2 linked regions of the Oryctolagus cuniculus genome follow. The protein of the gene in region 2 interacts with the protein of the main gene of each other region in a biochemical or structural test. Links are inferred from orthologs where the notes say so. Each region holds a gene or a part of one and is shown on either strand. Other genes may lie near its edges.

Region 1 (3,817 bases), on a different chromosome or scaffold from region 2:
CAGCTGGTTTGTCATTCAGTCAAAAAGAAACTAGTCAAATACAGACATGCACAGAGAAATTAAGAACTTCCAATGTGAAGTACACCACAAATTCTTTGGTTTTTCTGAGAAGCTGTATTTCCTTGTTTACTTTTTGGGTATTTTCTAGTTCAAGAACATCCAGGTTTTTTTGTTCTAATAGGTTCTCAGGATGCATGGTTATTAAGATACCAAAAAGGTTACATCTGTATGGCGCTGCCTGGTTGTTATCAGATTTTAATAGCCCACATTTCTCAAATTAACATCTTCTAGTAGGCATCCAATTAAAGATTAAGCTATTCCTGACTTGCCCCAAACGGTAGAGTTAGAAACATACCAGGGGATTCCAATTCAATCCCATCAAGGTGGTATGTACCAATGCCATCTCACTAGTCCAAGTGATCAATTTCTGTTCACAATTGATCATAATGATAGGACTAAGAGCTAAAGGGATCACATAAACAAGGCTAGTGTGTTCTAATACTAACTGATAGAATAAAAAAGGGAGAGAACAATCCAACATGGGAAGCGAGATACACAGCAGACTCATAGAATGGCAGATGTCCTAAACAGCGCTCTGGCCTCAGAATCAGCCCTTAAGGCATGCGGATCCGGCTGAAAAGCCAATGAGAGTATTTCAGGCATGGAAAACCAAGACACTCTGGCAAAAAAAAAACCAAAAAACAAAAAACAAAAAAAACAAAAAAAAAACAAAAAAAAAAAACAAAAAAAAAAACCTAAATGAAAGATCTCCGCGAGTGAGATCCCAGTGGAAAGAACAGGTCATCAAAGAAGGAGATACCTTTCTCTGAAGGGAGGAGAGAACTTCCACTCTGACTACGACCTTGTCTAAATATGATCAGAGTCAGTGACTCAAAAGGCTTCCATAGCCTTGGCAACTCATGACAAGAGCCTAGGGTGATTACTGACCCCATAAACAAGAGTGTCAATTTGTAAAGTCAACAGCAGGAGTCACTGTGCACTTACTACTCATGTAGGATCTCTGTCCTTAATGTGCTGTACATTGTGATTTAAAGCTATAACTAGTACTCAAACAGTATTTTTCACTTTGTGTTTCCATGTGGGTGCAAACTGTTGAAATCTTTACTTAATGTATGCTAAACTGATCTTCTGTATATAAAGAGAATTGAAAATGAATCTTGATGTGAATGGAAGGGGAGAGGGAGCGGGAGAGGGGAGGGTTGTGGGTGGGAGGGAAGTTATGGGGGGGGGAGCCATTGTAATCCATAAGCTGTACTTTGGAAATTTATATTCATGAAATAAAAGTTAAAAAAATTAAGCTATTCAATTTGAATTTTTTTTTTATTATTTGGCAGGAGAATTTAGAGCATTCTTAAATGTACTTTCCCATCTAAAATGATTTTTCATTAATTATCATCACACTGTGATTTTTCATTTTTGGCAAAAAACAGATCCTAAAAAGACTACTGAAAAGGCTCAATTTAAAAAGAAAATAGCTGCATACTTTGGAAATCAAAAATCGACAATAGTATTGTAGTAAAGTAAGCAAGTTCCTGAGGTCTGACGTCGGTGTCTTAGAAAGCGCTAACTTAGTCTCTCACCAGGGTTGCAGTCTGTGAGCAGGGAGCAGATGGAGAGGAGGACTTTGGAGATGGTCAGGGCTGGACTCCAGTTGTCCTTCAGGATGTCCAGACAGATCACGCCTTGGCTGTTGATGTTACAGTGATAGATTCTTGTTCGGAACGTAACCTACAATTGTAGAACAAGTAAAGTTGTTAGGAGCAGTTTGTTGTTGTTGCTGTTTTTTTTTTTTTTTTTTTTTTAATATCAGGTAAACTATTACAGGTACTAGTTAAAATACACTTGGTTTTCCCTTAGGCACAGGAGAATAAATCAATAGACAAAAGTAATAAATTTAGAACTTATCATTTTGGCCACAGAGAATGAAATGTCAACAGGAAAAGTTTGTCATTCTGCTTCGCATAAGGAGAGCTATTTCGTTAAGCCTCTGCCTGCAGCACTGGCTCTAATCCAGGCTTCTCCTTTCCCCATCCAGCTCTCTGCTAATGGCATGGGAAAGCAGAGAGGATGTCCCAAGTGCTAAGGCCCCTGCATCCATGTGGGAGACCCAAAAGTTCCCAACTCCTGGCTTCAGATTGGCCCAGCTCTGGTCATTGTGGCCATTTGGGGAGTGAATCAGTAGATGGAAGATCTCTGTCTCTCCCTCTCTCTGTGTGTAACTCTACCTTTCCAAAAAAAAAAAAAAAAAGAAAAGAAAAGAAAAGGAGTGCGATTATTTAACAAATGTCCTGGGCATGAAATTTGCTCTTGATGCAGTTATGGGAGTGTTTCTGAGGCGAACAATGATGCTATCCTCTGAAAAGTTTCAAAGAACATCTTTGCTGGATTCCAGTTGTCTGGAAAACTTTGCCCATTTAAAAATAAACATGAAAAAGCATGTGAACACTTACAAGAAGAAAATATCATGCCATCACATGGTTTTAAAATGTGCTACATAGAACAAGTATGTAAATAATCTGCCTCTTGGGGCTGGCGCCATGGCGGAGTGGGTTAAAGCCCTGGCCTGAAGCACCAGCATCCCATATGGGTGCCGGTTCAAGTCCCACCTGCTCTTCTTCTGATCCAGCTCTCTGCTATGGCCTGGGACAGCAGTAGAAGATACCCCAAGTCCTTGAACCCCTAAACCCACGTGGGAGACCCAGAAGAAGCTCCTGGTTCCTGGCTTTGGATCGGCGCAGCTCCAGCCGTTGCCACCATCTGGGGAGTGAACCAGGAAGACCTCTCTCTGCCTCTACCTCTCTCTGTAACTTTGTCTTTCAAATAAATAAAATAAATCTTTAAAAAATATAATCTGCCTCTTTTTTAGCAGTATATTAGTTATTAACTGTACTGGTTACAACATACCATATTAGTTATACTTTATAAACTGTTCCCTTCTTAAATTTTTTTTTTTAGATTTATTTATTTATTTGAAAGGCAAAATTACAGAGAGGCAGAAGCAGAGACCCACAGAGAGAGGTCTTCCACCCTCTGGTTCACTCCCCAAATGGCTGCAACAGCCGGAGCTGGACTGATCCGAAGCTGGAAGCCAGGAACCTCCTCTGAGCCTCCGACACAGGTGCAGGGGCCAAGGACTCAAATCGGCGTCCACACAGGATGTGGGCACTGCACGCAATTGCTTTATCCATTACACCACAGCGCGGCACACATCTGAAGTTCTTTCTTAAAAACTTACTTCAGATGGAGAGAGACGGAGAGAAAGAGCGAGCCAGAGAGTGGACATACTCCCATCTGCTGGTTTACTCCCCAGGTGGCCACAACAGCTGGGGATGGGCTAGACTGAAGCTGGGAGCCAGAAACTGAATCCTGTGTGGGCGGCAGGGACCCAACCGCTTAATAAAATGGAAGTTTGGGTTCTGATGTCCTCATGGAGAAAGAAGATGAAATCTTTGGCCTGGATGAAGCAAGGAGTTGGAACTGAGGGCCCTTGTAAGAATTAGGACCCTGGAGTAGCTAGTCTTTGAGAAAACATGAACTTGAAAAGGCATGCCTTAAGGGAGAACGAGCAAGGAAACTGGCCAGAGAAAGCCTCAGCTCTGGACTGAGGAAAGGAATTTTCTCTCAGAGAATTCTAAACCACGGATATTCACATTGTGCAAATGTTCTGTCAAAAAAAAAAAAAAAAGGGAGTTTAAATGACTATTACTATCAGATCAAATATATGTTAGCTTTGTTAGGAAGAAAGAAGGCCACTGCATTATGATAAAATGAATAATTCATCAGTAAAACAGCTACA
Region 2 (3,817 bases):
GATCACAAAGGCTGTGAAGGGGGAGAGGGAAGGAAAGGCAGGAGACGGAATCTCAACACCCAGGTCTCTAACATAAGTGGTAGGAATCCAACTAGCTGAGTCATCACCCTTGACTCCCAGAGTCTGTATTAGCAGGAAGCTGGGACTAGGAGCAAGAACCAGGTATCAAACCCAGCCACGCTGATGTGAGACACAGGTGTCCTAGCTGGAAGCTTAACTGCTAGGTCAAACGCCCACTCCAAACGGTACAATTTAAATAGGTACAGTGTGTTGTAAGTGTTGCCTTAACAAAGAGGCAACAACAGTGGAAAACCAAAGGCTGTACTTAATCTAAGGTCTATAAATGATTCAGTTCATCATTCCAAGGAATGTCCCCTTCAGATTTCAACCTTACACAAAGAAAGGCTAATGACTTCCCTGAGGTTGGAGGGACCCTCGCAGACAAAGTAAATCAACAGAATTCCCTGGTAATTCCTTTAAAAAAAAAAAAAAAGATATAATTATAAAATTATTTATTTGAAAGGCAGTGAGAGAGAGAGAAAGGAGAAAGAGAAAGCAAGTTCCCATCTGCTGGTTCTCTTCTCAAATACCCATAATACTTGGGGCTAGGACAGATCAAAGTCAGGAGCCAGCAACTCAATCTGGGTCTCCTTCATGGGTGGCAAGGACCCAGGCACTCGAGCCTCCCAGGATGCACATTAGCAGGAAGAGAGAAACACGAGCAGAGCGAGGACTTGACCCCATATATTCCGATATGGGATATGGGCATCCCGAGCTGTGTCTTAACTGCTGTGCCAAGCACCTGCTCCAGGAATTACTTTTTTAGCATTCACCCTTGCCAAGGACTGCCCATTCCCAGAGCAGCTATGGAAGCATTTACATTCACATAAATGAAAGACCACAGCATTCCTCATAGAGCGAAACAACTTGTGGGCTGGCTCCAAGGTCTCTGATTCCCCCACGAACCCTATAAAGGAAGTTCCTTAGGCAGGATCTCCCTTTGCAAAACTCTACATCAGCAAAGCAGTTACCTGACCAGGAGTAGCCACTGAAGGACACTTTGGTTCTGGACAGTTGAGGCACTGAACTTGGCCATCTTTGATCTGGATTTCAAAGTAGTCCTTCAGACACGCTTTGCAGTACACATGCCTGCACTCCAAGAAGTACATGCACTCACTACCCAGCTTCTCACAGAAACAGATACTGCACAGGAACAATTTACTGTTAAAGCATTTTGTCTGCTGAGCTTGATCAAAGTCCAAGATTTCCTGGATCAGACTTGACAGTGATTCCACATCCTGCACAGCTCTCTCATCTACGACTTCCTCTTGGTCTACATCAGATCCGGTAGCTCCTCCAAACTCCAGCTCTTTGGTGGAAGAGGCCTGGGCTGTTCTTCTCTGCACTTTTTTCTGAGATCCCATCTTGAGCTCGAAAGGAGAGACAATATTCAGGTAGGCAAGGGTCTCCTCCTTAAGAAACTGCATCCAGGCAAACAGGACCACACTGCCTCGGTGTTCTTCCCACAGGTTGTCCAGGTGCTTGCACAGAGCGGACAGCTAGGAGAGAAAACACGAGGAAGCTGCTGAGTCTGGAAGATGCTGCTGCTGCCTCTGCCTCCCGACTTCCTTTGAAATCTTTCAACTTCTAAGTGAGGCCTCCCCGCTTCCTGCTGCTGTCTCCACTGCAAAACCAACACAGTCATGGGAGGACTTGGTAACCACTCCCAACACAAGCAAGGGCAGGACACGAAGGCAGAAGCAAGAAACAGCACTGTGAAAACGAGAGAAACCAAGACTCCTTAAGAGAAGAGATCTCGTTCTAAAATGAACTATTCTCCTTCCTTGGGGAGTCCTGGCCCCCATGGGTGCCCTGAAACTGGTTAGCAAAGGACAGTTTTCAAAGACCACCTGTTTTAAAGTTAATTTTAACTTCCAGGCCAATCAAAAAGCCAACTCACCCAAAAGAATCACTAAACAGAATTCAATCTTTCAGATTTACAAGCTACTCTTCACAAAGCAATCTGGGCTTCCATCAGATCCTGGTAAATGGAGGGAAGCAGACTGACATGGACCCTGGACACCATCACAAGCCCTCAATGTGCTTTGGCTGTCAAAGACAAAGCTCACAGTTCCTAAGCTAAGAAAACAAAGGTAAAACTATTTTAACTTTTCCTCTTTAAAGGTGGTCTGTTCAGGGGCCAGCACTGTGGCATAGCAGGTAAAGCCACCTCCTGCTGCGCTGGCATCCCATACAGGTGCCAGTTCCAGCCCCAGCTGCTCCACTTCCGATCCAGCTCTCTGCTATGGCCTGGGAAAGCAGTGGAAGATGGCCCACGTCCTTGGGCCCCTGTACCTGCTTAGGAGACCCAGAACAAACTCCTGGCTCCTGGCTTCGGATCGGCACAGCTCCGACCATTGTGGCCATCTAGGGAGTGAACCAGCAGATGGAAGACCCCTCTCTCTCTCTGCCTTTCAAATAAAAAAAATAAATCTTTAAGAAAAAAAAAAAAAGTGGTCTGTTCAATTGAAAGGCAAATATAAGAGGATTTTCCATTGGGAATTTAAAATATTTGTAAGTTGAGCTCAGGAATTCTAAGCAGATTTTCTTTTTTAGGTAAACATCCAAAAATAAGCATTCCAGATGGCAAACAAATTTTATAAACAAGTGAAAAGGGGCCATATTTTCTGTTCCTGGCTCTGTGTAATGCTGTTGAATGAGCCTGCACATGCGCTAACTTAAATACTTATTGGCAAATTAAAACTGGACAGCAAATGTTTTTTCACATATGCATGAAGATATTTCTAAGGTCAATCATACTTTTGAGAAATCCATCAAAATCTGTTAAACATAATAAATACTAAAAGGGAAGTTCCAAGTGCTGTGTAAGCTGCAGGTCAATGACCAAGCAGCTCCCCTCCATCCTCTCTGCTTCTCTAGTCTTTTCTCAAAAGACCAGCAGGATACATGTAAACGGGAAGAAGGAAGGGTTAACAGCAAGAGAGAAGCTCTGTTGTGTGCGTGCATATTGAGGGGGAACAATGGAAAACACTGGAAAACTAAACCCACTTCCCTCCTTCAGTCAGTCAGCGAATGACTCCTACACATGTCAGTTTCAGTATTAATGGGCAAGATTCCCAATACCATGAAATCAGAGTACAACGATTAACAAGAATTGAAACAAGAAATATTAAGTGATCAATTAAAACCCCAATCATATGCATAAAACTGTCAGAAAATCCTACATGGGACTATAAGACTTAAAATAATGAATACCCTCTGCCACCTCCCCACAAAAGCCAGCATTATGTTGATGCTGGCATCTAAAATTGCAACCACCTACCTAGTTAACCTGTCCCTGTTGTGTGTGTGTGTTTTTGTGTGAGCACGCATGTGTTTGGGTATATGTATGCACATGCATGCATGTAAAATACCAAGTGCTCTCTAGAGAAACAAGATTATAAATATCCAAATATTTACTTATCACCTATCAGTGATCTAAATGTCAAACAGTCTTAATATTTCTGGCCAAGTTAATCATTTGTGTTGCATCTATTATCTGTGGCACAGATATCAGAATGTAAAGTAATATTCTTTTCTTTATTCTTCATGTACTATTCTTTTTTTTAAAGTTTAACTTTGTTTTTAAACCATAAACTCAATTTTTGTAAAGCCATTCTCATCGAAAAGAGCAGACTGATGGGTGGGAAATGAACACCATGCGACCCAAAGGGATGAGCAACCTTGACAGCTTTTTAATACACATCAGCCTATGAATCTTCATCAGGCCTTCTAGGAAAGTAGCCGCTATTGATCT

What was found.
Region 1: the proteins of RNF14 (region 2) and UBE2E2 form a complex in vitro, tested with the Homo sapiens proteins (2 studies listed by BioGRID). The link is inferred for Oryctolagus cuniculus from reciprocal best matches to the Homo sapiens genes RNF14 and UBE2E2.

What each region holds. Positions count from the first base shown.
Region 1 is NC_091435.1:159,441,933-159,445,749, reverse strand, and holds part of UBE2E2 (ubiquitin-conjugating enzyme E2 E2), read right to left. Parts: intron 1,750-3,817; coding exon 1,602-1,749; intron 1-1,601.
Region 2 is NC_091437.1:29,524,310-29,528,126, reverse strand, and holds part of RNF14 (E3 ubiquitin-protein ligase RNF14), read right to left. Parts: intron 2,467-3,817; exon of another isoform or gene 2,428-2,466; coding exon of another isoform or gene 2,356-2,427; intron 1,560-2,355; coding exon 1,032-1,559; intron 1-1,031. UniProt on the Homo sapiens protein: E3 ubiquitin-protein ligase that plays a key role in the RNF14-RNF25 translation quality control pathway, a pathway that takes place when a ribosome has stalled during translation, and which promotes ubiquitination and degradation of translation factors on stalled ribosomes.